Oryctolagus cuniculus: one gene and its partners. The protein of the gene in region 3 interacts with the protein of the main gene of each other region in a pairwise test. Links are inferred from orthologs where the notes say so. Each region holds a gene or a part of one and is shown on either strand. Other genes may lie near its edges.

Region 1 (4,079 bases), on a different chromosome or scaffold from region 3:
TCCTGCCCCATGACCTAGACCGAAGTGGAACTGGATTTATGCTTCATCTCCCTCAGTCTTGATGGCTATGGGGAGATGGATGGAGGCGGGGGGAACGAACAAGGGCAGGCAAGGCGCAGTCTTCTAAGGATAACCTGACCCAGCTTAGATTGGTTTCTCTGCTGTCAGTCACTCAGCTCCAGTCAACCAGGAATACATTTACTTTGGCCCCTCAGCAGGTGTCAGCCGGAGCGGCTTTCCAGAATGTGGACCACGCTGGCTTCAGGTGCCAACACCACAGCTGCCAAATTCCTAGAAGACACTTAAGACCAGGTCCTTGACCCCCCTCACCCACAGAGAGTCCATCAGGGACCCCAGGCCTCACCCACAGAGAGTCCATCAGGGACCCCAGGCCACGCCCACAGAGTCCACCAGGGAGGCCCAGGCCACGCCTACAGAGCAGTCCACCAGGGAGGCCCAGGCCTCGCCCACAGAGAGTCCACCAGGGAGGCCTAGGCCTCACCCACAGAGAGTCCACCAGGGAGGCCCAGGCCACGCCCACAGAGTCCACCAGGGAGGCCCAGGCCTCGCCCACAGAGTCCACTGGGGAGGCTTCATTTACGCTTCTTCTCTTGCGTGCTGGTGAACCAGGCGTCCAGGAGCTTCTTGCTGTAGTATAACTGCCACGCATGCACTTGCACCGCCAGCACCAGCACCAGGTACATGACGGAGACAGCAGAAAACCCGAAGAGGAAGCGGTAGGCTTTGCCGTGGCGGTAGAGCTGCTGGGCAGCGGGGAACATCTCCATGCTGCCATAGATGAGGGGAGCGATGGAGAAGAGCCCCATGCTGATCATGGAGAGCACGAGGTAGCTGATGTTGTTGCGCGGGAAGGAGAGGAGGCCCAGGAGGGAGGGCACGACGCTCAGCAGATACGGGTACTCCCACTGGTAGGGCATGGCCACCTGGTCATGCGACAGCAGCCGCAGGTGTCCCACGCTCATCTTGGCCACCAGCAGCAGCCACAAGACCAGATGCACGTAGATCAGCTTCTTGATTTCATACTTGAGGGTCACACTGTGGGGCAGAGCACAGGGAGAGCACCTTTCACTCACGTTTTTCTGACCACCACCTGCACGCTAGGCGACTGTACTGGATAATGATAGAAATGGGAGTAAGACACAGACCCCGGGGGCCGGTGCTGTGGAGCCCACATGGGCGCTGGTTCGAGTCCCGGCTGCTCCACTTCCGATCCAGCTCTCTGCTATGGCCTGGGAAAGCAGAAGATGGCCCAAGGCTTGGGCCCCTGCACACATGTGGGAGACCTGGAAGAAGCTCCTGGCTTCATATTGGCGCAGCTCGGGCCGTTGCGGCCATTTGGGAAGTGAACCAGCGGATGGAAGACCTCTCTCTCTCTTAACTCTGCCTTTCAAATAAATAAATCTTAAAAATGTAAAAAAAAGTGAAGTGAGAAAGTTCTCATATGGTCCATGAGCTATGGGCTCACAGGAAGGCAGAACAGCTCTGTGTGGGACGAGGAGTAGGACAAGGCTGTCCAGAGGGAGGCATTTCAGCCAGGCTCTAAGGATGCTGGAGACGGGCCCTGCACGCCCGGGCACGGACATTCAAGTACCGGCCGTCCGCACTGGTGCTCCAGGAAGTCAGCAGCTGAGCGGAGCCAGGGCCCGCTGCGGAGACTAGGAAGGCGCGGGGGCAAGGCCGAGCCACACCGCAGGCTGGAAGGAGGCACCGGCCAGGACATCGGCCCGGCCTGCCACACGTCTGCAGCCAGCGTGGACGTTCCAGCCAGGGGAGGCACACGTTTCCCCCATTCTCCCAATTCCTCCAGGCCGCAGAGGCAGCTGCCCGCACCCCCAGGGGCAAAGCCGCCGCTGAGACCCAACAGTGAAGACCCCTGCCTGGGTTCTAACGCGCGCTCACAGCGGGGCCTAAGGACGGGCGTGAACTCGGCGTTCAGAAAAGCCGGTCTAGGAAAACACTTGCGAGGAACATTCTAGAAAGCTCAGGGGCCTTAAAGATCTACGCTCTATTTTTATTTTAAAATGCCGTAGGGAAGCAGAGAAAAACGCCGGCTTCTTGGACTTCGAGGACCAGAGCTGACGGCCAGGTCCACCGCACCCCGGCGCCCACCTCCACGCCACGCGAAAGCCAGCGACCGCACGAACACGGAGACGCCTCGCCCGCGCGCCGCCCGGTCCACGGCCACAGTCCATGTGGCAGGTGCCCACCACCCCAACACTCGCCAGCTCCCCACCGAAACCGCACACGCGGGCCATCTGCTCCCGCTACGGGCGAGGAACCTGAGGCTCGGCGACAAAACCAAGTTCTCAAGGTCACACACGCGAGACGGCAGCCGTGGCTCCGACCGCGGAGCCCACGCGGGGCCCGAGCCCCCTCGCCACTCGGGCCGGACCACGGGGCGGCGCTCGCGGGGGCCGCTGGGCTCCGCGGGGTTGGCTGGGGACGCGACCGAGGCCGCCGCGGAAGGAGGGGACCGGGCGGGCCGGCGGGCGGGGGCTGGCCGGGCTGTCAACCCCGGGGGCGCCGGCGTCGCGCGCCTCACCCGTACCTCATCTGGTAGTGCGTGGCGACGCGCTCCCGGTGCTGAAAGTCGCTGCCGTCCGTGCCGGCCGCTCGCGGGCCCGCCCGAGACGCCATGGTCCCTGCTCAGCACCCTGGAGCCCACAGCACAGCCCGCCGCCGCGACACCCGCGCCAACAGTTCCGCCAGCCCCTCTGTCGCCGCCTCGGTGCAGCCACACAACGGCCGGGCGGAAGTGCCGGGCACTTCCGGCCTCTCTGCCCACGCTGGGAGGACCGTCTCTATGGCCCCGGCCCCACGGAGGAGCCGGGAACCCTGGGTAGTGCCCCGCCCCGCGAGCAGAGCCGCAGGAAGTGAGTCCGATGCCCCTATTCCCATCACGGAGCCCGGGAGCTGGATTCCTGGAAGGCTTTATGCCTTTCCCAGCACACATCTTCCCGTCTCAGAAGTTTCCCTCCAGAGACCACGTAATCATTGCAGGGGCTGGAGCTGTGGCTTGCCGCCTGCAGTGCGGACATCGCATGTAGACGCCGGTTCGAGTCCCGGCTGCTCCACTTCCGATCCCGCTCTCTGCTATGGCCTAGCAAAGCAGTGGAAGATGGTCCAAGTGCTTGGGCCCCTGCACCCACGTGGGAGACCCAGATTGATTTCCTGGCCCCTGACTTCCGCCTGATACAGCCCCAGCTGTTGGAGGCGTTTGGAGACTACCAGTGGATGGAATCTCTTTCTGTCTCCCCTTAAAGTGAATAAAAATTTTAATTAAGTAGTATAGGGGCCGGCGCTGTGGCATAGTGGATAAAGCTGTTGCCTGCAGTCCCCACAACCCATATGGGCACCAGTTCGAATCCCAGCTGCTCCACTTCAGATCCCACTCTCTGCTATGCCCTGGGAAAGCAGCAGCAGATGACCCAAGTCCTTGGGCCCCTGCACCCACATAGGAGACCTGGAAGAAGCTCCTGGCTCTTGGCTTTGGAACGGCTCAGCCCCAGCTGTTGTGGCCATTTGGGGACTGAACCAGCGGATGGGAGACCTCTCTGTCTCTTCCTCTCAAATAAATAAATAAAATCTTTAAAATTATATTTCATTGTCCAGAAACTTCTTGAAGTACCCTCACATAGATAGAGAGGGAGGGGAGAATGAGAGGGGAAAGACAGATACATTTTTTCACTGGAATATTAGTTGCAATGTACTTCCCCTATGTATTGTAGGTCATTTGACTTCGCTCCTTGTGCTGAAGTTTAGCATATGAGGCATCTCTTAGGTAGCCAAATGCAGGCTTCTTTCCCGCTCCATTGAGCACAGGTGGAGTCCGTCTCCACTCGCAGGTGTTGAGAATCTTGCTCCTACGTTGCCTCCCTCCCTGGAATGTGAATTCCTCAAAGGTCAGGGGCCAGATCTGTCTGTCCCCGCGCAGGCACAGTGCCTGGCATGCTGTCAGCGTTCAGGAAACGTTTGCTGACTTCCAACTGAGCCCGGGGAAGCATCCTGTCTGGCTCTGGCTTCTGCTGTCTGTCCCTGTCAGCGCTTGGATTTCATCA
Region 2 (4,127 bases), on a different chromosome or scaffold from region 3:
TGTACTCCCGCCTTTGCATTGTGCCTGCAATCAGCCCGAGCTCACGGAATGCAGGATGACGAGGCCAGGGGCCTCTGCTGAGCCGAGAAACGACTCCAGGAGAATGGAGAGGAGGAAGGCCTTAAGGAGACGTCAGCCTCCGCACACGGGAAGCCCTGACACTGAGAGGCAGGCAGAGATCTCAATCACAGACGAACTGTGAGGCCCACAGAAAGCAAGGCACGGCTTAGACATTTAAAAAATCAATCCAACCTCTGGTCACTGTTAGCTACCTCTAGAATAAAAAACATCTAAGTCAGACGTTTTTCTCAACCAATACTGTTACTGCCCTCCCATTCCCTCAACCCACCCACAGCGACCCAGGTTAGTATCACCTGTTTGCTTAGACCGGCTATTCCCTCAGTCACAAACGCCTCCCCCTTCCCTCCCCCAGGCCAATACAAGGAATGGGTGTGCTTACAGAGTGGTTAGTATATGCAAGACACTGCCAAAACTGACTTAGGGGCTGGTGCCGGGGCACAGTGGGCACAGCTGCTGCCTGCAGTGCCTGCATCCCATATGGGTGCCGGTTCGAGTCCCGGTTGCTCCACTTCTGATCCTGCTCTCTTCTCTGCTATGGCCTGGGAAAGCAGTGGAAGATGGCCCAGGTGCTTGGGCCCCTGCACTTGTGTGGGAGACCCGGAAGAAGCTCCTGGCTCCTGGCTTTGGATCAGCACAGCTCTGGCTGATGTGGTCACCGGGGGAGTGAACCAGGGAGTGGCAGACCTCTCTTTCTCTGCCTCTCCTTCTCTGACTCTTTCAAATAAATAAATCTTTAAAAAAAATTGTATTTTTTTTTGAGGGCCCTATTCACATACTATTTAGTCCATGAAGTTGTCTTGCTCTTCCCTAGGGAAATGGTGCTTTGTAACATCCCTACTTGTTTGTTAACACAGTGTGAGGGTATGATTAGCCCTGGCAACAGACTGTGAGACAGATTTTTTTTTTTTTTTTTTTTTTTTTTTTTTGACAGGCAGAGTGGACAGTGAGAGAGAGAGACAGAGAGAAAGGTCTTCCTTTGCCGTTGGTTCACCCTCCAATGGCCGCCGCACCGCGCTGATCCGATGGCAGGAGCCAGGAGCCAGGTGCTTTTCCTGGTCTCCCATGGGGTGCAGGGCCCAAGCACCCGGGCCATCCTCCACTGCACTCCCGGGCCACAGCAGAGGGCTGGCCTGGAAGAGGGGCAACCGGGACAGAATCCGGTGCCCCGACCGGGACTAGAACCCGGTGTGCCGGCGCCGCAAGGTGGAGGATTAGCCTATTGAGCCGCGGCGCTGGCCGATTTTTTTAAAACATTTATTTTTTTTTTTTTCTTTATTTGAAAGGAAGAAGCAGAGAGGGGGGGGGGGGCGGAATTTTCCATCTGCTGGTTCACTCCCCAAATAGCCACAGGGCTGGGCAGGGGCTGGGCCAGGCCAGAGTCAGGAGCCCAGAGCTTCTTCCAGGTCTCCCACATGGGTGCAGGGACCCAAGGACTTGGGCCATCCTCAGCTGCTTACCCAGGCCATAGCAGAGAGCTGGATCGGAAGTGGAGCAGCTGGGCATTGGAGACTCAACCTGCTATGTCATGACGCCGGCCCCATATATAGGAGATTTGAGGGACTTCTTGCTATGTATCCTCAGTATCTGTCCATGGTACATCGTATGTGCTCATTAAATATTGAAGTAAGTGGAAAATTAACGTTAGGGGAACAATGTACATGACTGGGCAGTCTCTTGGGACACAAAACCGGGTGGGATCCAGGATACAGGAAAATAGATGCATCAACTTGTCAAAGGAAGAGGAACGTCCCCTCCCTTGGGAGGACCTCCAGATAAGCCTGGACGGATGGAAACGCTCAAGGTCTGTCCGAATTCTCCCAAGTCGCAAGGGCACCGTCTTTCCTGAATCTCCTGGAGGCGGCCCGCGCCCAGCTCGTCCTCCCTGGGGTTCTCCCCCTGTAGGGCGTTTGTCTGTATACATATTTTCTCCTCAGTCTCCATGTGGCATCACCCCGCATCACACACGACACACAATAATCACTCACTCAATGCGGGTCTACTGCATGCGTAAACAGGACAGGAGGAGAAGGGCGAAGGAGAGGGCAAATTTGAGAAAGAGGAGCTTGCGCCGCGGAAGCCAGTGACGAGTGAAACCTGCGGGCCCACAGCTACACGGTTTAAAGCGAAGGCAAGCAGGAGCCCTCGCGCCCCGGATCCCGCCCTTAGGCACGGGCATCCGCCGGCTCGCCTTCCACCTGGACCCGAGGGCCTCCCTGGGTACCCCGCGGCTGTCCTTCCCAATGCCTGACTCGATTCTGAAGCCAACCTTCCGCAAAAGCCTACGCGTCCTCGCCCGTTGCGTGAGGCCGAACCTCTCGCTACACTTGGCCCGACTCTGCCGATCTCGTTTCTTGTTCCCCTTCTCTAATCTCGCAACCACCGCCAACAAGGCGTGCCCGCGGGCGCCCTGGCCGGCTGTGCAGGGAGGTCCTGCGGCCGGAAGCCGGAAGCCGGAAGCCGGAAGGGGGCTGTGAGGACGTGTTCCCAGGAAGCCAGCGCTGAGGCCGGCGACATGGAGCCGCTATACCAGCAAACGCACAAGTGAGGGCCGCGTCGGGGGGCGGGCGGGTGTGGGGCCAGGAGAGGCCAGCCCCCGAGGCTGCGGGCTTGGGCTTCCGCCGCGGTGGACATGGAGTCCGCCGAGCGTGACTCGGAAGCGCAGTCCCGGGCGGGATGCCCAAGTCAGCCGCGAACTCGGGGTCCCTCCTGGAACCGGGAGCCGTGAGGGTGGACGGCTCCTGGGGTCTGCAAGCTCTGACTACCTGCTGGGTAGGCTGAGTGAAGGGAAAGTCGCACCTGCAGGTTTTAACACTTGCCACCGTGGCGCTCGTGGGGAGACAGTGAGGGGGTCACGACCCCTGCCCGTAGGAGTTCTGTTTGGGTTAGGGTCACCTGTGTTCAGGGCTCATAGAAAAAAAAGCATTTTTATTCCGGTGTGACTGAACTAAAGACCGCATTTTTAGTTAAGAAATTGCTGTAAAGTAGTTGTTATTGCTTGTTTGTCGTTTCTGGTTACGGGTTACCTTTAAGGAAATCGAATTTTGACTTAGCTTCCCATAACTTAAATTCGTTGGTAGTGTGCTGTATTCACATTGTTCTGCATTTTGGGGGGACTTGCCGAGATAGGTAGTTGGGGTTGGTAATAAGGGCCATACTTATTCTGGGTTTTTTTTTGGGGGGGGGGGCTTATGATCTATTTCTTATTGTGGTTAAAATGTAGCATAAAGCTTAACCAGTTTAGCCATTTTTCAGTGACGTTAAGTGTGCTCACAACTCACATCACCATTATCCATTTCTAGAAGGTTTTCATGATCCTGAACAGAAACTCTGCCTGTTAGGCAGTGACCCCCTGTTCCTCTCTTCCGGAGCCCCTCATTCAGTTCTGCTTTCTGTTTCTATGAATTTCCTATTCCAGACACCTCACCTATAAGGATTGCACGGTGTTTGTCCTTTGGTGTCTGACATATTTCACCTACCTACCGTGATGTTTTCAGAATTCATCCATCTTGTAGCATGTATCAGAATTTCACTTAAATTTTTCCCCAAGATTTCATTTGTTTTTACTTATTTGGAAGAGGGGGTGAAGAGAGAGCGCTCCCTTTCACTAGTTCATTCCCCAGTGTCCGCGCAGTGGGGCCTGGGCCAGTCGGCAGCCACGGGCCAGGAGCTCAGTCCACATCTTCTACAGGCCTGGCAAGGACCTCACTACTTGAGCCACCGCTGCTGCCTCCCAGGGCAGCTGGAATTGGGTGCGGGCATCCCAGGCAGGGTCTTCACAGCTGCACCAAATGCTGCCCCTCCTTTCTTTTTGCGTTTGAACACTGTTCCATTGTATGTGTAGACTACGTGTTGTTGCCGTCCATTCCTCTGCTGATGGACACTTGGGTTAGTGAGAATAATGCTGAAATGAACATGGAAGTGCAGGTGTCTTTTAGCCCTGGATTTTTATTTGCTGAAGTTTATATTTTGAGAACATTCACATTGATGCTCCAGTTCTGTTGTAAACACGGGGCCTGGGAATGAAGTGAAACATGCAGCCAGGCTCC
Region 3 (4,171 bases):
CTGACAGACGGCTGTTTCCCCTAAGGTTTGGCGGTGGCAGCAGGGTGGCCATGGGCGTGGGAGGCGGGGAGCTGCGGGGACCGGGAGGGCATTCTTGGCCAGGGCTCAGCACAGGCACAGGCGACAGCTGGCCTCCCCAGTGCACACACCCCAGGGATACAGACCGGTGGGCGGGCTCACGGGAGGCGCTCGGTCCATCACTGCTCCCTTCCTCCCACCCTACATCTGTGTGGAGGTTCAGGTACCCCAAGCCACCGCTCCCAAATCCGAGTCTCGGCCTGGTGCCCCTTCACCCCCAGCTCCCCTGGCGCGGAAAGGGGCCCAGCCACCTACTTTGTGCTGCAGGGCCACCAGCCCGGCTCTCCGGCAGGTCCATGGGCCTCCCTGGCTACTCCACGGCTGCTGGAGAAGCTAGCAGCCCCCTCCCTCGCCGGGAGGGAGAGGATGGGGCCTAGCAGCTGAGCGCTCCTGGAGGGACAAGCAGGGCAAAGCCTTCTCAGAGCGACACCAGGCACCTGCGCCGCGGGCCACTCCACGTCCTCAGAACCTGTTTGCCACCCCCGCCTTTACCCACGGCTCCAGCTCCAACCTGTTTTATGAACTGGTGGTGTGGGCTGGCAACACGTGGGCGGCAGAGATCAAAGGGGCCTCGCGGGTGGGGGTCCCAGCCTCCCCTTGGGGAGACCCCTGTGCGGCCAAGTCCCCAGTCCTATCCCTTCTCTCCACACCTCTGCCCTGCCTGGACTCATCCCCCATCCCCCAGCCAACCAATCCGGCCCCACAGAGCCCCAGAGCTGACCCGTTCCTCCCCGAACCGACGCCTTCCACGCCCGTCAGCACCCTGGGCCGGAGCCTGGCTGGACTTGGTGACAAGGCCCTGCTTACCCCCCTCCCGGCCCAGCTGTCCTCACGGCCGAGCCTCTGCCTGGGACGCCCGCCTCGCCTTCCTGCGTTGGCTCCCTTGTGCCCTCTGGAAACCGTGTCCGGTCTCCACCCCAGGCTGAGCCAGGTGCTGCGTCTGGGTTCCCACATGGCCCTGTGCAGCTGACACCTTGCCACGCACGTGCTGGCTTGTGTGGCACCGCCGGCCTCTCCCGCGCCTTTGGGCCCTCTTTCCCCTGCCTCAGCCCTTCCGGGGCTCCCTGGACCCCTGCACTGGCTGGTAGCCCCTTGGCTGGAGCCGCACGGAGTGGTTATTCCATCTCCTCAACTCGTTTTTCCTCCTCTAAAGTCGATAGTGTGGGTGTGTGCTGGAGCTGGGGGTGGGGCCAAAAGGGAGAGCCCCCTCCCACGCGCTGGTTCAGCTCCCAGATGCCTGCGACGGCCAGGGCCGGCAGGGCTGACGCTGGGTGCCCCCCCCCCCCGCCCCCGCCTCCCAGGGTCTGCACCGAGTCAGGAGCCTGAGCCCAGGACCAGACCGACCTCCGCTCTGGGACACGGTGACTTCACGGCTCCGGGGGACCCCGTGCCCTTGACCTTTCTCAGCCGAGCCTCGGGGTCCCTCAGCGTCACTACGTGCAAGCCAGCTGCTCCCCCAGGTTTCCACTCGGGGTGACCCACGGTCCTCCGAGGCCCGGACACACAGCCCAGGCCTTCTGCTTACCGCTCGGGGTCAGGGGAGGCTTCCCGGAGGCCACGGGCCCTCGAGGGCCTCCCAGCTCTGGCTGCCACCTCCGCCCTTACCGTGCAAACTCCAGGACCCTTCCTGGACAAAGCCCCCGAGCCCCGTGCCCACCGCCCGGATTCCGGCTGGAGAGAGGCCCCCTGTCTTTCCCCTCCCCTTCCCAGCCTCCTCTGCGGTTTAAGAAGGTTCTGGAAAAGGTGGCGCGGAGGGGGAGCCTCTGCCAGGGGCTTGGCTCACAGCACGGGGGTAGGGGTGGGTCAGGGAGTTGGGGGTGCAAAGGTGGGGAGGTGTGGCCCTGTGAGCTGGGAGCAGCTTCGCGGGCTAGAATTTGGGGTGCGCTTGAGAGGACTCCGGGGCGACGGCGGCCTCTAACAGGATTTTGACAGGGAGGCTCTGACAGGTTCGGAGGGCCAAGTCTGACGGAACTTCTAGAAGATTCGGACAGGCTGTTAGGCGTCCCTCGCAAGATGTCCTAGTGGGTCTTGGTCAGGATTTCAAGTGGGACGGGGAAGGTCCGGGTACTGGCGGGTTCGGGGAGGGGCTCCGCAGGGCTACTGTGGGCATCTCCACACAAGCAGGGCGCACCTGGAGTCCTCTTCCAGCCTCAGGGCGCCGCCGACGGTCACCAGCACGAACCGCGGGAAAGGGGTGCGCCGGCGTCGCCCGCCACAGAACAGCGAGCACACGGGCTGCGCCCAGGGGGCGCTCGCGCGCGCCCAGGCCCCGCCCCGCCCCGCCCCCGCCCGCGGCGCATGCGCGCAGGGGGGAGGCGCGCGCCTCTCCGGGCAGTTACCTGTGCGGGCGAGGTCGCGCATGCGCAGGGCTGCCCCGGCGGCCCTGTGGAGCGAGCGCATGCGCGCTGGCAGGGTGGCTTGGCCCGCTGCAGGGTTTAGCGCTGGTGGCTGTAGGGCGGGCACGCCGGGTCCCTCCTGGTTGGCTCCGAGCGTTGATGAAATAGGGCCGAGCAGGGAAAAGTCGGTCTGAGCCGCCAAGCTGTGCCCTTTCTGCCCTCTGTTCGTGCCAGGCGGCCTGGCGTCGGCGCCGTCACAATGATGGCTGGCCCATCTCACCCCAACCCTCTCACTCCGCGCCCTTTCGTGGCTCAAGTCGCGCTGTGTTTCTGTAGGTCCCTGAAGGCTTCTTTTCCTAACCGTCTCATTCATTCCTTTTTGGAGAGGATGGAGTTAAGCATACTCTTGACTTTTCTTGCTGGAGAGACTAGTTACTCCCAAGAAGGAGCCTGGAGGCAAAGGATATCCCACCTGTGCAGCCTCTCGGCCAGTCCAGAGCAGGGAGGAACCCCTCTTCTGCACGCCGTCGCTCATCCGACCATCGTTTCGCCCAGCTGTCGCTTCAGAGAGGCCTCGCTCTGCACCCCTGGCGCCCTCCACCTTACAAAGAAAAATGGCGGTGCTGGCACAGCAGGTTGAGCCGCAGCCTGGGACACGGGCACCCCTATCCAAGCGCCTACTGCAGTCCTGGCTGCGCCGCCGCTTCAGATCCAGCTCCCTGCTGATGCCCCTGGGAATGTGGGAGACCCGACGCAGTTCCAGGCTTCAGGTTCAGCCTGGCTCGGCCAGGCAGTTGCTGCCATTTGGGGAGTGAACCAGCGGATGGACGACGTCTCCGTCTCTCCCTCTGCCTTTCAAATAAAATAAAAATTGTTGAATGAATGAATGCATGCATGTGGAGTGACGCAGTCCGGCATTCCTGGATCTGAATTTTGGCTCCAATGCTTCCTATCTATGACCTTTGCAGAGTGACCCACCTGCCACTCAATTTTCCTCCCAGAATGGAGTTGCGTTGATGGCACCTTGGGTGGCAATCCAGAGCTCCTGGGAGTTCTGTGTTAACTGGTGGTTATTATTTTGATGAATAGAAAGGGCTTGTTACAAGGCTGGGAGGAGTCTGTTTGGCAGGTGGTATGAGGAGTGGTGAAGTGCACGAGACAAGGGATCAGATAAACCTCCAGCCATTGCTGTGTGGTCTTGGCAAATGACTTCACCTCTCTGAACCTCGGCTTCTATAAATTGGGACAAATAATGTTTACAATAAGCATGTGTTTTTTCTTACTGCAGACTGGCATGGTGGTGGCCCCCTTAGCTGTATCAATAGTCCGTTCTTCTGGGGTGGGCATTTGCACAGTCACTCCTTGGGACACCCTCACCCCCTATCGGAGTGCCTGCCTTGAGTCCCAGCTACTGTGCCGCTGATCCGTCTTCCTGCTAACACGCACCCTGGGAGGCGGCGGGTAGCTGAGTCCACGCCAACCAAGTGGGGTACCTGCAGTGAGTTCCTGGTTCCTGGCTCCAGCCTGGCCCAGCCCTGGCTATTGTGGGCATTGGGGAAGCTCGCTCTCTCTGTCTTTTTCTGTACCTTTTTATATACTTACAGATTTTATTTTATTTTAAAAATTATGTTTTAAGATTTATTTATTAGGCTGGCACCGCAGCTCACTGGGCTAATCCTCCGCCTTGCGGCGCCGGCACACCAGGTTCTAGTCCCGGTCGGGGCGCCGGATTCTGTCCTGGTTGCCCCTCTTCCAGG
Region 4 (4,164 bases), on a different chromosome or scaffold from region 3:
AGGCGCAGCGCGCCAGGCCATGGCTTCCATTTGGGGAGTGAACCAATGGAAGGAAGACCTTTCTCTCTGTCTCTCTCTCACTAACTCTATTAAAAAAAAAAAAAATCAAGTCCTAAAGGTCATAATTGGAAAAATTTAAACTTATTTGAAACAAATGAGGTCCAACAATTTATTTTAAAGAATTATTTCTCTTATTATGTATCACTCCTTTTAAAAATACTACTGTATGGCAATCTATTTACTGACTTCACAATCTTCACACATAAGCATTACAACTTTAAATCCTCCCTAGAGAAAGTAGGTTTTGCATTTCATTTAAATAAAATGTGAACAAAAACTGACTTTAATTAACACATGTAAGTATCATGGCAAGCAACCACTTTGCAAATAACAAAGACTCTTGCTAATTATCTGTGTGACCTTGTCAAGTCATGATTCTCATGTCTTTTACCAGATTCCTCTATTCTGTAATTCCAAATTTTAAATCTTTAATTAACAGGCATTTAGCAATAGGTTTTATTTTTATTAACGCAAAGATAATATAGGCCGTGAGTACTACATAAGAATTTATAAGCAAACACAGGTGGCTGTAGCCTAGTTTTAACAAGTAGGTTTGTAGAGTCAAACTAATCCAGCATGTTTAAAAATTCAGATTCCTCAAGTCACAAGGCAATCAAACTAGGCAAGAAAATGCCAAAGGCTCAGTACTTTCTATTACTAGTACTAGAGAAAAACAACCAAACAACAACAAAACACACTCAAATTCTCAACTGACAGTGTGTCAGGTATTTAATACCAGTATATCCTTAACACATAAAACTATATTCTTCAACCAGATCAATGTTTTGGAAAAAATCAATAATATCTAAGTCAAGAAATTATTCTTGATCCTTTAAAAAAAAAATCTGCCTCCTTTCGTCTGACAACTCAAGTTGGCAGAAACTAAAAAAAAACATTTTGCCAGTTGACCTAACTCCTAAAGAAAAAATACCACCTTTTTTTTCATCTTGCCTGATGACTGGCTATTTGGAGAAAGTTTCCTTGTCAGCCTCTTAACAGACAAATCACAAAAAAATCTTCAAATGTTTAAGCGCCATTATTTTCATTTTGTCCCAACTTACATTACATTAGCTCATTTGACACTTAAACTATAAACCAAAAATAGGACTTAAAATGGTCCACTTTAAGATACACAAGGCCAAAACAAACATGATCAAAATCTATTTTTAGAGTGCTATTCACTCTTCAAGTTTTCTCTTTAAAATGAGGTTTACTTGAACTATTTTCATGCGTTTTCACAGCACCCAGACTCTGAACACAAATATCTGCTAGTCAAAAAAACAACAAACTCAACATCACAAATCCTATCTGTGGGGGTCATTTTCTGTGTGTGTCCTAACATGCTTATTCAAAAGTCTAAATATAGATGCACTTACTAAAATGTCCAAGGTCTTCCAAAATCTGTAATTATATACTGCTTTCAGTGCCAACGTTATACATCCACTTCCCACTTAAAAGTGTACACTACACGTACGGGGTCCGGTGGGGGTTGGGGAGTTGCGGGGTCCCTGGCACCTGAAATGTCAATCACAGGAAGAACAAAGCGTTTTCTATCCTTTCTTGGTTTTCTTCTCCCCTCAGTTCCACAGTTTCAATATAAACCAACAGGAAACAAGACGTCCCAAACTTGAGAAAGAAGGGCTCACTAAAATGGCACTCGGACAAGAGAAATATAAAAACAGGGACGGAAATGATGAACATGAAAAAAAAAAAAAAAAAAAGCGAATCTAGTTGCCAACATGTGTGTGTATAAACTTAATCCTGGAGTTACTCCCTGCGGGAAAGGACGGTGCCCTCTCCACACCCTCAAAAAGCAATGCTGCAGCCTCTCAGAAAACAAAATAGCGACCAGAAGGCAAGAAAGACCAGCACTCTCGGACCAACTGGACAGCAGGGAGGGACCTCCGCACCCGGCAACCAGAACAAAGCAACCACCTCCGCCGAGAAGCCGCAGGGAGGTCGGGCAGGCTCCGAGGCTCTCGGAGCTCTCTCGCGGTCCCCAAGAGTCCACAGCCGTCCAGACAACCGTGAATGTGCAGCGCTGAGTCTCGCCAGGACAAGGTGGGGCAGCTGCTCCCTTCAATGAGGCAAGACCCAGACGCTAAGCAGAAGCAGCAGTGGTGGGGAGAGAGAGAGAGAAAAAACAGCAGCCCAAGGCGCTCGGGATCACACAAAACGCGGGCACTCCATGTCCTAGCTTGCATCGGACCCCAGGCCCAAAGTCTCTGACTCCACACGGGGAACAGGTAACCCCTAAAGCATCTGGGTCCCTGCACCTTGAGGCCAGCAGGTCCCTCGGCAGAGGCCTGACCCCACGGCCGAGGAAGAGGAGAAGGACCCGGCGGCCACCAAAGACGGCGACGCGGACCCGGTCGAAGAGGCTGCGCAGTAATGGCCGCTGCCCTGCCTCTCGCACCTCGGCCCAGGCCAGCTCCGGCATCGCCACCGCAGGGGCTGCGGCCAAGCGGCCATGCAGAGGCCGTCACAGTCTTCGTGCCTGCGACAACAGCCTGAGCGGGGGCGGCAGGGAGGCCGCAGGGCCCCTCCCGCCTCCCGGCCACAGCAGCTACCGAGCCGGCCAAGGGCGTCCATCTACGTACCGGGCCCTGACCCCGCCGCCGCCCCTCTCCGGGCCCGACAGCAGGCCGACCGGGGCGCGTCGAGCCTGCCGGAGGCACCGCGAGTCGTGCCTCTTCCCCCCGAGTTTGGATCCCGGAGCAGCGGGCCTTCGCCGTGACCTCCGCGAGGGCGGCGCCTCGACTCCCTCCTCTCCGGCCACAGCCCCGGCCACCTCGCCGTCTTTTCTCTTCGGCCTCGGAGCCCGCAGCGGCCGGGGACGCGCGCGACCGTCACGTGACCGCCCGGCGCGTCGCGGGGGCGGGGCCGCGCGGGCCGGAAGTCGCGCCTCGCGCTCGCAGAGCTCGCGCCCGAGCCTCCCGCCGCGGGCCCAGGCCCCGCCCTCGAGCGCGCCGCCGGTACCCGCCCTCTCCACTTGCGGGAACCCGCCGTCCAGCTGCTTGGATGCTCCTGATCTCTTAGGTTTTGCCTTACTCGTATTAAGGGCAAGGAGCCCTGAAAGCGTGCAGATCCTCAAGGGAGAGATATTGCGTAGGGGAAGTAAGACGCGGGCACTACCAGCAGGTGGTGCTATTCAAAAATCCAATTTAAGACCCCAGAGAAGCCCTGGGGCGCCTAGCTGAGCTCTGGGTTGAAGACCCCTTCTGAAAGTACCGCTTGTTCTCTCAAGAAATAAAACCTTCTGAATGGCTGGGCAGTTTATGCAGAGGGGAAAAAATGGATTATAACCATGTTTTGGACCAATGCTTCTTAATAGAATCGAGCTAAGACGCCAGAGGAAGAAATTAATCTTCGCAAGAATCTGAAATTAAACGGGCAAAATGAATGCGAGCATGTGGTTTTAAACTTCAAAACACTGGCCGTGTTCTCCGTTTTAGCACCTACATTGCGTTTTTCCGAAACTGACTAAATGAGCTTGATATGTGGTAAAACGAACGAACAGGAGGGGAAAACGTGTCCTTTATCTTGAGTATATATTTCAACCTTCCACTGCAATGTCTTTCAGTGATGTTGCATTTTTGAGATTAGTGGGTGCAAGATTGGAAATCTTCCATGTCTTGATACATATAGAAAGCTGTACATTTTCCGTTATTCCCCTGAAATAGTTTATTTTGGGATCCTAATCATGGGTGAGGGGCATTCAAAAGGTACATGGAAAAAAATCACTTTTCTTTTAATGCCATTTCGACGAACTAGTATAGAATACTAATGAAGTCAATGTCCTCCAACTTTAATTCTCTACCTTCTTAGCCACCCGGTTTTACTCCTCTATCCTACACAACCCATGAACAGATAATGTACTTTAAGATTTCTGCTTGAAGAGAGAATTCTAATATTAACTAACAATTGGTAGTTAATGTGCTTTACATATATAACCTCATTTAATCCTGACAGTAAACCATGAGGTAGCTACTATTATTATTTCATTTTACAGAAACAGGCACCCATCTGGGATTTAACTTCAGTGGGAGGCTACAATAGAGTTCAGCTACTCCAGTTCTTCATATTATTAATTAGGAAATGGAT
Region 5 (4,097 bases), on a different chromosome or scaffold from region 3:
TTACTCATATTTCTGGTTAAGTTCTTAATCTTATAGAATAAACATAAACATAAGATGAAAGGATAAACACAGTAAGAGAGGCAGCTATACAAAATAAGGTTAATTTCTACACCAAACTTTGTGCAGTCAACTCTATACACACGGGAATAGGGCAAAAGTGCTTTACAATGGCCAAGAGAACACGACTACCTTGGATTGCTTACCAGTGCCCCCTGCCCATCTAAAAAGGACCGACGGGCTGGCATCAAGCAGGGAACATGGTAGAAACAGAATGGCATGAGGCAGTTGATTCAGAAAACGCAACAGTATAATTCAAATACAGGCTACTAGTATGAGGAAAAACAACCCAGGGCTTCATATTGGCTCAGCCCCCAGGAGTCAATTAAAAGTAACTTATTCTCCCCCCATCCCCTCTCTTTTCTTGTCCCCCTTCTATTGAGACTGTACTATAAACTATTTGGAGTTACTCAATTTTAGCATCCTCTAAATTTCCCTTCTAGTGAGACAAAATGGATTCAACACTACTCTATCATACCAGATGGATTTACAAAGTGAAGTGCTAAGAATGTACTTCCAAGGTCATTTCTAAGATTGCACTGAGGCTGCAATATCCGCTGTAAGAGAGCTTAAAGCATACTACGTCACGCCAGCATTCGTACTTCTCCCAGCCCTACCTCCGTCTGCCTTGGTTTCTGTGACCTATTCTGGCTCAGTGAGAGAGGGAAATCAACTCCATGCCAATGAGGTACAGAAAGTGCAAACCAGGGTTCAGTCTTTCACAATCAACTACTGTGTGTCACTCTCATGGTGATAGCCCACATCTGGAAGATGCTTCCTTTCTGAAGACTGCTCCTGCGCTCCATGCTATCAGAGCCTGGTGGCTCAGCTGAGACAGACTGGGATCATAAAAGCAGATGGAATTCTTACACAGCATAAACTCCCCTGAAGTATCTAAGCAGAAGGATAGAGAAGTAGCTCTTCAGGGCCAGGGAACACCTAAACAACCCAGGACAACCAAATGCCCCTATCTTAAATCTAGCATGAAAAAAGTTCACATTTTAATTATTCTCCTAATACTTCCCTCTTTATTGATTCCTGAGACCCCGGGAAATAGGATTATTTTGGACAGAAGGGAAGACTTGATCTGATTTTCCAAGTGACTTTGGACTGCTTTAAAGTGAGAGAAAAGAAAGTCATCTCTTTTGTAGGAATACATTTCAATTATTCATCACTGTGGGGTAGCATGAATCAGATCTACTATACTATGACTTATGCAGAAAAAAGTAATTTTTTAAAATCATAATAAGATAACTGGAGTAGTTATCTCCCCCACATGTGTAAGTAATGTCAGGGAGGGGAAATCTGATATTAGTATCTATGCCATTGGAACTATCAAAAAAAAAAAATGGACATCCTGATGACAGGATGGCAATTTCAGTGAACCATATCCAAATCAAACATTCCAAAAGCTCTAAATAAAAAATACTAGAAAAAGTGTGCAGAGCATTTATTTCAATTGTAAAAGACATGTAATTAATGTTTCATATATTGCTGCCCAGATGAATAAAGCGACTGTGAAATTCAAGAAAACAATCAAAGCACAAGGAAACTCCAGATCTAACTACAATGCTGGACTTCAATTTGGCCCAGCTCCACTTCAGCGACTAGAAAGATGCGAGTCGGATACAGGTCTTTATTCTGGTAGCCCTTGGGCATCTCTCCTGAGCATTCCATAGCAGAGGACAGTATGGTCTTCGAATCCAGGCCCTCCAAGTCCTGGGTTCTTCCTAATTAAAGCTAAGAACCATTATGCTAGAAAAAACAAGACTGCACCAGCCCCAGCGCCAACGCCATCTCCTAGCTGGTCAGGCAGACGGAGTAGCCCGGTTTCCTCCCCTGTCCCTGCTCCTTGTGGGTGGGGCTGGCGGAGGAGAGAAGAGGGTGTTGAAGAGGTGTTTGGAAGTCAGGAAACCTCCTCATCCGTCCTTTCCTTTCTCCTCGCTTAGAATGGAAGGTCAAGGGCAGACAGACCAAAACCAGACAGTAGATTTTGCATAGGGAGACAACAGACCCAACAAACACGCACTCATCTGGAGGTGAAGCCTCCCTTTCCACTTCTCTCCCGTCCTCAGACGCCCATAACGAGTCGCCTCTGTCTGGGTGAGGGGAGCTGCCTCTGTCTGCGGCGAGGAACCCAATTAGGCGCTAAGAATAAATCGGAAGAAAGGAGAGCCGAGGGCAAGAGGGCAGGGTAAGGTCTCCTTTCCAACCCGAGCGAGACAGGCAGGGCAGAGGCGGTGCGGGAGCTAGGGTAAGCCAAGAAAACCACGACGAGATCCGAGGGAGACCCAAGCAGGGGGTGCGGGACGCAGAGGAGCCGTGACCGGGCGACACAGGGGCGGCGGGCAGCGGCGGGCCGGGCCGCTGACTCAGTGAAAGCGGCAAGGCTCGGACCCGGGAGGCCGCACGGCGCGCGGCGGACGGCAGCAGCGGGGGTCCCGAGGCGGGCGCGGCCGCGGGGGCTCACCGTGTCCTTAGACGAGCCCAGCTTCTTCAGGCCGTCCAGCGGCAGCAGGTCGGCCGAGTCCTTGTGGATGAACTGCACCGCCTGCTTCATCCGGCGCTGCTGTCGCAGCGGCGCCGCCTCCCGCATGTCGGTCTCCTTGCGGCCACCCTCGGTGAGGAGCCCTGAGTAAAACATCGTTGAGGCGCCGCGGCCCCGGGGCCCCGGCGCGCTCGGATCCCCGCGCCCTCAGCCTCGAGCTCCTTCCAGCGCAGGCGAGAGCCGCGCGCCGCGCTTTTTGTAGCCGAGCGTGACGTCACGGGGAGCAGCCAGTGCGCGCGCCGGAGGGGCGGAGCTGGCACAGCGCCCCCGCCCGGCGCGCCGCCTTGTCCGGAGTCCAGCGTCCGCTTGTCGGGTCCCGAGCCGGCCGGCCCCGGAGTCAAGCGAGCTAGGAGGGGACGGCTCAGGCTGCCTGAGGTGCTAAGCGCCACCCAACCGCCCCTTTCCGGGTGGGTGCCCCGCATCACCTGAACGGGGTCAGGCTGTGGGACCCAAGGTGCGAGCAGCCTCTCCCACGCTAACCGCCCCCCCCCCGGGGTCCCCCGCTCACCTGTCCACACTGTGACCGACCCGGGGACCACGGACAGTTGGGCCATGCTGGCGCCCCGCCGCGCGCGCCGCGGCTCTCCTCGGCCTTCGCGTCCCCTCCCGGGCTCCCGGCGCCCTCTGCCCAGGGCACGGGAAGGCCAGCGGCAAGCTCCGAAGGTGGGAGGGCTCGGATTTCTTCAACTTCAGATCGGTCCCCTCCCACTGGACCACGTGACTGGAGAGAGGGCAGCTCGTGTGGACTGGCCAGAGCCGGCTTTCTCGGGACCCTCCTCTTCCTGACACCCTGTGCCCTCAGCAGGACCCCTGCGAGGCCCAGTGTTGGGGAGGGTCCCCGCCTCCACGGAACGCACGCGATCGGAGCCCTGCACCTCCCGGGAGCATCCACAGAGAAGCACTAGTGTTTCTCAGCCAGCGCTAGGGCGTACCTTCCGGAGGGTCTGCCACCGGTCTCCCCGGCATCCTTGTGGGAGCATTTGGACCCCCGTATTTCTTCGTGAATCGATCTCATACTTTCAAGCCATTCTTATGGGTTCTGACCTCATCGTTGTGACTGGATACAAGCCAGGGTACGTTTCCACCTGGGGGACACATGGCAAGTACCCTCTCCACCCCGCGTCACAGGAGCAGCTTGAGCCAGAGAGATCTGCACTCCGAGGAGGACCAGAGGACACGCTCGGAGCCTCTGCTCTCTGCTCTCTGCTCTCTGGTGACAGCTCAGGAAGGAACTGTTATCATTATCATGTCTACAGGTGAATGGCTGAGACCTGCTCGAGGGCTTCCTGAGGACTCCCTGGCTGGGCTTGGCTCCTGTTCTCTGCCAGAGTCATCTCAAGCAACCACCTCCAAAGGCTTTGGTGGCCACGGTGAGAAAGACCCGCGTTCTTGCTTGATGTGGCCTCACCTACCCCTCCTCTCTGTACTTAGCCTCATGAGCCTTCTAGTTCCCTGGGCGAGCCGTGGTCCCTCTGGCCAAATGGCCTGCCCT
Region 6 (3,500 bases), on a different chromosome or scaffold from region 3:
GCTTAGCCTACTAAGCTACAATGTGGGCTACCCTTCCCTCCAAAAATAAATCATTTTTTAAACACTCTTCTCTAGTAGCTTTATTCTTACAATGTCAGAGTAAATTTCAGACTAAAATCTCAAAATTCTACAATCAAAATCAATCTGCCTAGAAGAATGCTGAAGTGATGAACAGTGAAGCTCATCACTAATTGCCATGATTCTTCAAATATTCTTAATTAGATCATTTAACAACCGTACATCAGAGGATAATGAACGTTTAACAGAAAACTGAGGTGTAGAACAGGAAAGACTGATGAAAATATACACATGAGACAGAATCAATGTTTCCTTTGCAGAAATTCATGTTATCTTTCAAGGTCTGAAGTGTACATCTCAGGGCCAGTGCTGTGGAGCAGTGGGGTAAGCCTCCGCCTGAAACAGCAACATCCCATATGAGCACTGGTGTGAATTCCAGCTGCTCCACTTCAAGCTGGCTCCCTGTCAATGCACCTGGGAAAGAGTTTGTGCCCCTGTGGCCTACATGGGAGACCCGGATGAAGCTCCTGACTTTCGCCTGGCACAGCCCTGGCTGCTGTGGCCATTTGGGTAATAAACCAGGGATTGGAGATCAATCAATCAGTCTCTCTGTGTCACTCCCTAAAACTCTGCCTTTCAAATAAAAAAATTTTCTTAAACTGCACATCTCCTTTAACCAGAAATTCATTTTAATCCTTTACTAGTCACATAACTGAACAAAGTTATATATGTGTAAGAATGTCTTTTAAAGCATTATTTGTAATAGTGAAAGGGAAGGAAGGAGGAGGAAGGAAAAATCAAAGGGGAGGAAGTGGGAGGGAACCAAGGAAGAAAAGAGGCAGCGGACAAAGAGAGAGAGGAAAACCCCACAGTCTTGGAGCAAAAACAACAAAATAGCTCCCATAGTGAAGAAGCAAAAAAATAGAAAGTCCTACATCCACAATAAAGTATAAAATATACTCAATAAATGTCTGCTGACTGATTCTCTACTTTATGTAGAAAAAATTCATGATATCAGCTCTGATGACCAAAGAGCTTGCCATAAAACCCTCCAGACATGAGGTTATGAGGTTTCTTTTTTTTTTTTTTGGACAGGCAGAGTGGACAGTGAGAGAGAGAGAGACAGAGAGAAAGGTCTTCCTTTGCCGTTGGTTCACCCTCGCAGCCGGTTTGCTGTGACCAGCGCGCTGCACTGATCCAAAGGCAGGAGCCAGGTGCTTCTCCTGGTCTCTCATGGGGTGCAGAGGCCAAGCACCTGGGCCATCCTCCACTGCACTCCCTGGCCACAGCAGAGAGCTGGCCTGGAAGAGGGGCAACTGGGACAGAATCCGGCGCCCCGACCGGGACTAGAACCCGGTGTGCCGGCGCCGCAAGACGGAGGATAATTAGCCTAGTGAGCTGCGGCGCCGGCCCAAGACATGAGGTTTCAACAACAACAACAACAACAAAAAAAAACTGGGTCACTCTAATTTACAAATGGTATGTGGAGAGGCTTGCGCTCTGATTCAGATTTTATCAACTTCTTGAATGACTGACAGCCACGTTCAGGAATGCAAGGACAAATATGACCACTTGGAAATCTGTATTATTATTGTTCTTTCGAAGAGTGAAAACTACAAACTTCCTTCTAATAAAAAATGTTAAGCAATTCCATAACCAATCACAGACTAACCACAGACATGGCACTCTAAGAAATGAGTAACCTCTATTACCTTTCCCGTGCTCTGTAAAATCGTTGTTCGTGTCCTCCACACTCTCTCCCTGCTGACAATATCTCGAGTCACATCTACCTCGGCGTCTACAAAACTCCTCTGTTTGAGGGCAGTGATGTCATCATCTAGATCAGTTTTGATAGTAGATCTTTTCTTAGCCATAATTTTGGCTTTGATTGCAGCAATTTTTTCCACTGACATGGCTTCAGATAAAGACCTAAAATCAAATTCCTTTTTAAATTTTCAAAGCAAGAATTCCTTGAGCACATCACAAATACATTGTTACAATTTTCTAGTAAAAACACTTTAAGTAACAACAATTAAAGCCTTCTTTCTATAAAAATGACATATTTTGTACTCTTACAAGATTTTAACACATAAAGAAGGTTCATGCAGATATACTACTGTGAGTAAATTAATAAATTCCAGAAGAAACAATGCAACAAATGTCTTTATATTTATCATTTCCCTCCAAAAGAGCAGTAACTCATTAACATGAGTGTTTTCTTTGTATTTTTTGAGACTTTGTTAGTTAACCCACATCTATTCACAGAAAATAAACATACATATCGAGGCCAGTTGTTAAGAGGGTCCCAGAAGAGGAGTATGAAATTCATTATATAAAGACTTCAAAATTATAGGTTTTCTTGAAATTTATTTCAAGGTTTCAAAACCGTATGTCACAGGGTACAACATATACATAGGTGACAAAGGCTTTTATATACCACAGAAACACATACCCCTTTTAAACTCTGGAAGAAACCATAGTTTGAACACTTTATCTTCCCTGCATCTGATTTTCAAATAGCCAAAACAGCAAAGAGAGACAGGCTATATTTTCAGAACTATGTATAAAAAGCGACTTAATACTTAAAGTACAGATTTTGTAAGATGAATCTTAAGCAAAGTGTCTTTTTATATAATAAGATAAAAAGAATTAAAAAGTGTTTGAGTACCTTATTAAGAGTAGACAAAAATATTACTTTAGCCACAAGATGAAAATCTTGAAATATGTTTACACAAAATCTGGAAAAAGGACAGAAATTCCTGCAGGTTTAAATACAGCAGTATTATAAAGTAAACTAATTTTATTCAGATTAGGTATGAAGATACTTTATAGCAGATGATCAATATGGGTATGGTGGTATCTGACTCATTTTGTGTGACACTGTGCAACATTCCCCTAAAATCTAAAGCACCTAGAGTCAAGTTCAAATGCTCTTCTAAACTATAATCAAGCCTGCACTGGACTTGGTATCACTGGACTTTATTTCCAGCCACACTAAAACAGAGTGACAGGATTAACCTTCCTGTCTTAAATTACCAGTGAAAATGACAAGACACCAGGTTTAAAGGATATTAGATTATCAAACAGTGTAGAACAGTGATTTCCTGACAAATGAGAAACCAACAAGGTGAGCCCTTGGTGGCTTCCGAGATAGGGCATTAAGAAGAGAGCCCACAAAGACCTCAGAGAACTCCCGATTTGAGGGAATGCAGCTGGGGCGACAGCAAGACCAAGGTGGCGAGAATTCACAGGACAAAACACATGAGAAGAGAGCTACACAGATTCCTTGGAGTATTCCAGTAGAATACCAATTAGTACATGAAGATAACGAAATCATTTAAAGCTGGGTAAAGAATCAATCATCCAATGGAATTAAAGAGAACAATGCCCAGTGCTTACACAGAGTGAAGAACAGTACCTGTTCCCACCATCCAGATTAAAAGCCTCATATTCTCAGGGCATTAGAAAGCATATTATTCCCC
Region 7 (4,150 bases), on a different chromosome or scaffold from region 3:
GTGCCCACTCGCGGTCAGTACTCCCACTCGTCCGACTTGAGGTCCAGGTAGCTGAGGATGTTTTGCGCCAGCTTCACGGCCTGCTTGCGCGCGGCCTTGCACTTCTCCTCGCCCTGCGGGTCGACCGCGTCCAGGGCCAGCAGCTGCTTGGTGAGCAGCTCCTCCAGCCGGATGTAGTTCTTGTCGCTGCGATTGCCGTCGAAGGACAGGACCTCCCCCTGGATCTCCGACAGGTTCCCCAGGACGCTCCAGACGGCCTGGTGGGACGGGTGCTCGGCGCCCACGCTCTGCTTCCTCTTCTCCAGCGCCTCCTTCAGGTCCACGTAGGTGACCAGCGTCTGCACCTCGATCACCGCCCGTCTGCGCGCCTCCCGGATGCAGGGGTTCTTCTCCAGGCTCACCTCGTCCAGCTGCCCGATGAGGCCCTGCAGCTCCGTCTTGGAGCTCAGGTACAGCTCGGCCGGGCTCTGCGCGCGCAGAAGCTCGGCCCTGACCTCCCGCGTCCTGGCGCGCACCTTCTCTATCTCGAGGATGGACTGGTTCTGGCCCAGGTCGAAGGCGCGGGTCGTGTCCGCCTCCTCCTCCAGCTCCAGGTACTTGAGCAGCTTGTGGATGTCCTCCACCACCTCCCTCCGGTAGTTCCTGATGTCCGGGTGCCCGGCCACGTCCAGCGCGTCCAGGTCGGCCAGCAGCCCCGAGAGCACGCAGGACAGGTGCCGGCAGGTCTCGTCGGCGCACACGCCCATCAGCAGCGCGACCACCGTGCCGCGGGCCTTGCTCACCGTGCACATCACGGCGTTGATCCTGGCGACGCACGGGTGCGCGTCCTCGGACAGCGGCAGCGACGGCTGCTTCCGCAGGCAGTCCTCCAGGATCTCCTGCACGGCGCACACCCTGCTCAGCGCGCGGTAGCGGGCTTTGCGCAGCGAGACCTTGCCGCCGGTCTTGACGTGCGTCAGCCGCAGCACGATGTCCTGCAGGCGCTCCTCCACCTCGTCCGCGGCGCAGCCTCCCCCGCTGTGCAAGGGCGCGATCTCGTCCTGCGCCAGCGCCTGCGCCTCGCGGAACAGGTTCCGGATCTCCAGGCGGCGCGGGTGGCTGGCGTTCTGCTCCAGCTCCTTGAGCAGCCGCTCCGTCTCCTGCGCCGCCCGCTTCCGCGCCTGCTGGACGTCCCCCCTGCCCTCGGTGTCCACGGAGTCGATCTCGAACAGCTGCCGCGTGAGCATGCGCTCCAGCCTCCGGTAGGCCTTGTCGTCCGCCAGCCCGCTGAAGCCCAGCACCTGCGGCTCCACGGCCTTCACCTCCCGCTGGATCTCCTGCAGCCTGCTGATGGCCGGGTGCTGGTTTCCCATGTCCATGCTCCGCTGCCTGGGCTCACGAGCGCTGCGGGGCGACAAGAGAGCTCATTCAGAGCGGCCGCCGGCAGGTCCGCGGACCCCGGCCGGCAGGCCCAGGGCCAGCCCGAGGGGCCGCCCGGCCCGCGGCACAGAACAGCCCGCAGGGCACGCCCGGGCCAGCAGAATGCGGGACAGGCCCCGCGACGGGGCCCCAAGCTCCGCCGGGGCTCCCCGCCCGGGACAGCGCCCACTCTGCCTGCACTGCCTCCCACGAGGGCCCGCGGGCGCCGCCGCGGGCCCGGGCCTCCCTCCCTCTCGCACTTTACCCGGCGGAGGTCCCGGCTCCCCGGAGGCGCGGCGGCGAGGTGGAAGATCAGCCCTTCACCGGGTGCGGCGGCGGGGCCGGGCCCCTAACGGCATCCCCTTCAGCCCCCCGGCTCGGTCTGGACGGGGCGGCCGGTGAAGGGGCCGGCGGCGGCGGCAGCTACTGGCCGCAGCGGCCGCTCCGGGCGTCTCGGCCCCGGGCCCCCGGCTCGCCGCCGGCCCTGACCTCACAATGGGCGCGCGGGGGAGGCCGAGGCCCGGGCGCCCCGCGAGGACGGGCGGGAGGGGCGCGGAGCGGGGCCCAGCCCGGCGGGGAACCCGGCCAGGCGCGGCCGCGTGGGAGCCCGTGGGGGGGAGCAGGGTGGCCCGGCGGAGCCCCGCGCCGGCGCGCGCGCGGAGAGAGCAGACGCGATCGCCGGCGCCCCCGCACCACTCACCCGCGCCATCACGCGCTCCGCTGCCGCCCACGACTTCCGCAGAGCCCGCGGCGCCCCCGTCCGGGGCCGACCACCCCCAAGCCCTGGGAAAAGACGGCTCCGCGCCCGCGCCTCACCTCGAGCCGCGCCCCGGGCCTCTGGGACGACAGGGATCGGGGAACTGTCGCCGGCGTTCGCCCGCGCTGCCCGGTCCCGGCAGGCCTCCTCCGCGCCGCCCCGTCCCCACAGACCCCCTCCGCGAGCCGTGTCACCGCGGGAAAAGCGCGCGGTCGGCCCCTCCGCGGCGCGCCCGCCGGCTTTGCGACCCTGCCGTAAGGCAGCCCCGCTCGCCGTCGCGAACGCCGCCGGGTGCCGCGGGAGCAAGGTGGGCGCGGCCCCATGGCGGCGGTGCGGCGGGCGCCGCGGACCCTCGTCCCGCCCCTCTGCCGGGCCTTCGCGGGCGGCGGCGGGCGGCGGGCCCCGGAGCGCGGTGCGGAGCGCAGGGAAGCAGCGCCGAGCGGGGTAAGCGCGCTGCCGGGGCTGCCGGGCCGCCCCCGGTCTGGCGCCCACCGCCGCGGTGCACGGACCTGGTGTTTGCCCGAGGGCGAGTTCCAGAAGCGCCCGGAGGGGCTCGGCGAGTGGCTGCGGCCGCGGCGTGCGGCCGGCCGTGCTTGTCCTCAGGCGCTGGCGGGCCGGGGCGGTGAGGCCGGCGCGGAGCCGGGCCGGGCAGTGGTTACGGAGCGAGGAGAGGGGCGGTGAGGCCGGCGCGGAGCCGGGCCGGGCAGTGGTTACGGAGCGACGAGAGGGGCGGTGAGGCCGGCGCGGAGCCGGGCCCGGCAGTGGTTACGGAGCGACGAGAGGGGCGGTGAGGCCGGCGCGGAGCCGGGCCCGGCAGTGGTTACGGAGCGACGAGAGGGAGCCCGCTGGCCGTTGCGACACTTTGGGCCTGCGGGTTTTCGTGCGGCCGCCGCCCCGACTTCCGCTCCCACGCGCGCACACCCACCAGGCTCGCGGGTGTCTGGGGAGGATTCAGCCTCTGAAAGGCGCTGGCGGGGGCAGCCGTGTAGCAACGAGAGGGTTGCGCGGGGTGCGGCGTTTCCGCGGCCGGTTTGGGCGCCGGTGCCAGCGCCGCAACAGGTCCCGCAGGCTGCTTGCTGGAGAACCGGACCCGCGCAGGGGCTGTGCGGGCCGTGTGGTCAGGTCCTGTGCGGGCCGTGTGGTCAGGGGCTGTGCGGGCTGTGTGGTCAGGTCCTGTGCGGGCCGTGTGGTCAGGGGCTGTGCAGGGCCGTGTGGTCCGGGGCCGTCTGGGACTGTGTGGTCCAGTGGCGTGCAGGGCCGTGTGGTCAGGGGCTGTGCGGGCCGTGTGGTCCGGTCTGTGCGGGCCGTGTGGTCAGGGGCTGTGTGGGGCTGTGTGGTCCGGTCTGTGCGGGCCGTGTGGTCAGGGGCTGTGCGGGGCTGTGTGGTCCGGTCTGTGCGGGCCGTGTGGTCAGGGGCTGTGCGGGGCTGTGTGGTCCGGTCTGTGCGGGCCGTGTGGTCAGGGGCTGTGCGGGCCCGTGTGGTCAGGGGCTGTGCGGGCCGTGTGGTCAGGGGCTGTGCGGGCCCGTGTGATCCAGTGGCGTGCAGGGCCGTGTGGTCCGGTGCTGTGCAGGGCCGTGTGGTCCAGGGCCGTCTGGGGCTGTGTGGTCCGGGGCCGTCTGGGGCTGTGTGGTCTGGTCCTGTGCGGGTCGTGTGGTCGTGTCCTGTGCGGGCCCGCGTGGTCCAGTGGCGTGCAGGGCCCGCGTGGTCCAGTGGCGTGCAGGGCCGTGTGGTCCAGGGCCGTCTGGGGCCGTGTGGTCCGGTGCTCTCCGGAAGAGGCAGGGCAGAGCCGGAGCCGCTTGGCCGCGTCCAGCATTGTGACCCCCGCCGTGTGCTCGGGGTCCGAGTGTCCGTGCTGCCGGGTGTTGGAGGGAGCTGGGGAGCCGCTGTTGCCCAGGGCAGTCGTGTGTGCTGGGCCTGCTGCGGGCGCCCCAGGTCGGGTGTTCCCGAGGGCGCCTTCCAGGGTGAGTACGTCTCTCCTATGTGTCCACATCTCTC

Evidence for each region.
Region 1: the proteins of KASH5 (region 3) and JAGN1 interact in binary tests that used the Homo sapiens proteins (3 or more experiments, as listed by UniProt). The two-hybrid records come from large-scale screens. The link is inferred for Oryctolagus cuniculus from reciprocal best matches to the Homo sapiens genes KASH5 and JAGN1.
Region 2: the proteins of KASH5 (region 3) and GOSR2 interact in binary tests that used the Homo sapiens proteins (3 or more experiments, as listed by UniProt). The two-hybrid records come from large-scale screens. The link is inferred for Oryctolagus cuniculus from reciprocal best matches to the Homo sapiens genes KASH5 and GOSR2.
Region 4: the proteins of KASH5 (region 3) and RNF146 interact in binary tests that used the Homo sapiens proteins (3 or more experiments, as listed by UniProt). The two-hybrid records come from large-scale screens. The link is inferred for Oryctolagus cuniculus from reciprocal best matches to the Homo sapiens genes KASH5 and RNF146.
Region 5: the proteins of KASH5 (region 3) and NRIP3 interact in binary tests that used the Homo sapiens proteins (3 or more experiments, as listed by UniProt). The two-hybrid records come from large-scale screens. The link is inferred for Oryctolagus cuniculus from reciprocal best matches to the Homo sapiens genes KASH5 and NRIP3.
Region 6: the proteins of KASH5 (region 3) and CDC73 interact in binary tests that used the Homo sapiens proteins (3 or more experiments, as listed by UniProt). The two-hybrid records come from large-scale screens. The link is inferred for Oryctolagus cuniculus from reciprocal best matches to the Homo sapiens genes KASH5 and CDC73.
Region 7: the proteins of KASH5 (region 3) and BAG5 interact in binary tests that used the Homo sapiens proteins (3 or more experiments, as listed by UniProt). The two-hybrid records come from large-scale screens. The link is inferred for Oryctolagus cuniculus from reciprocal best matches to the Homo sapiens genes KASH5 and BAG5.

What each region holds. Positions count from the first base shown.
Region 1 is NC_091441.1:116,853,426-116,857,504, forward strand, and holds the start of JAGN1 (protein jagunal homolog 1), read right to left. Parts: upstream 2,801-4,079; 5' UTR 2,659-2,800; coding exon 2,570-2,658; intron 1,057-2,569; coding exon 594-1,056; 3' UTR 1-593. UniProt on the Homo sapiens protein: Endoplasmic reticulum transmembrane protein involved in vesicle-mediated transport, which is required for neutrophil function.
Region 2 is NC_091448.1:17,823,574-17,827,700, forward strand, and holds the start of GOSR2 (Golgi SNAP receptor complex member 2), read left to right. Parts: upstream 1-1,327; 5' UTR 1,328-2,593; coding exon 2,594-2,622; intron 2,623-4,127. UniProt on the Homo sapiens protein: Involved in transport of proteins from the cis/medial-Golgi to the trans-Golgi network.
Region 3 is NC_091449.1:8,012,000-8,016,170, forward strand, and holds the start of KASH5 (protein KASH5), read right to left. Parts: upstream 2,801-4,171; 5' UTR 2,418-2,800; intron 2,375-2,417; exon of another isoform or gene 2,210-2,374; intron 469-2,209; 5' UTR 377-468; coding exon 334-376; intron 1-333. UniProt on the Homo sapiens protein: As a component of the LINC (LInker of Nucleoskeleton and Cytoskeleton) complex, involved in the connection between the nuclear lamina and the cytoskeleton.
Region 4 is NC_091436.1:42,374,779-42,378,942, forward strand, and holds the start of RNF146 (E3 ubiquitin-protein ligase RNF146), read right to left. Parts: upstream 2,801-4,164; 5' UTR 2,661-2,800; intron 1,576-2,660; exon of another isoform or gene 1,437-1,575; intron 1-1,436. UniProt on the Homo sapiens protein: E3 ubiquitin-protein ligase that specifically binds poly-ADP-ribosylated (PARsylated) proteins and mediates their ubiquitination and subsequent degradation. May regulate many important biological processes, such as cell survival and DNA damage response.
Region 5 is NC_091432.1:57,211,001-57,215,097, reverse strand, and holds the start of NRIP3 (nuclear receptor-interacting protein 3), read right to left. Parts: upstream 2,801-4,097; 5' UTR 2,702-2,800; coding exon 2,528-2,701; intron 1-2,527.
Region 6 is NC_091444.1:9,863,496-9,866,995, reverse strand, and holds part of CDC73 (parafibromin), read right to left. Parts: intron 1,948-3,500; coding exon 1,731-1,947; intron 1-1,730.
Region 7 is NC_091451.1:46,388,092-46,392,241, forward strand, and holds the start of BAG5 (BAG family molecular chaperone regulator 5), read right to left. Parts: upstream 2,801-4,150; 5' UTR 2,665-2,800; intron 2,600-2,664; coding exon of another isoform or gene 2,477-2,599; exon of another isoform or gene 2,408-2,476; intron 2,376-2,407; exon of another isoform or gene 2,099-2,375; intron 1,806-2,098; exon of another isoform or gene 1,664-1,805; intron 1,384-1,663; 5' UTR 1,359-1,383; coding exon 15-1,358; 3' UTR 1-14. UniProt on the Homo sapiens protein: Co-chaperone for HSP/HSP70 proteins. It functions as a nucleotide-exchange factor promoting the release of ADP from HSP70, thereby activating HSP70-mediated protein refolding.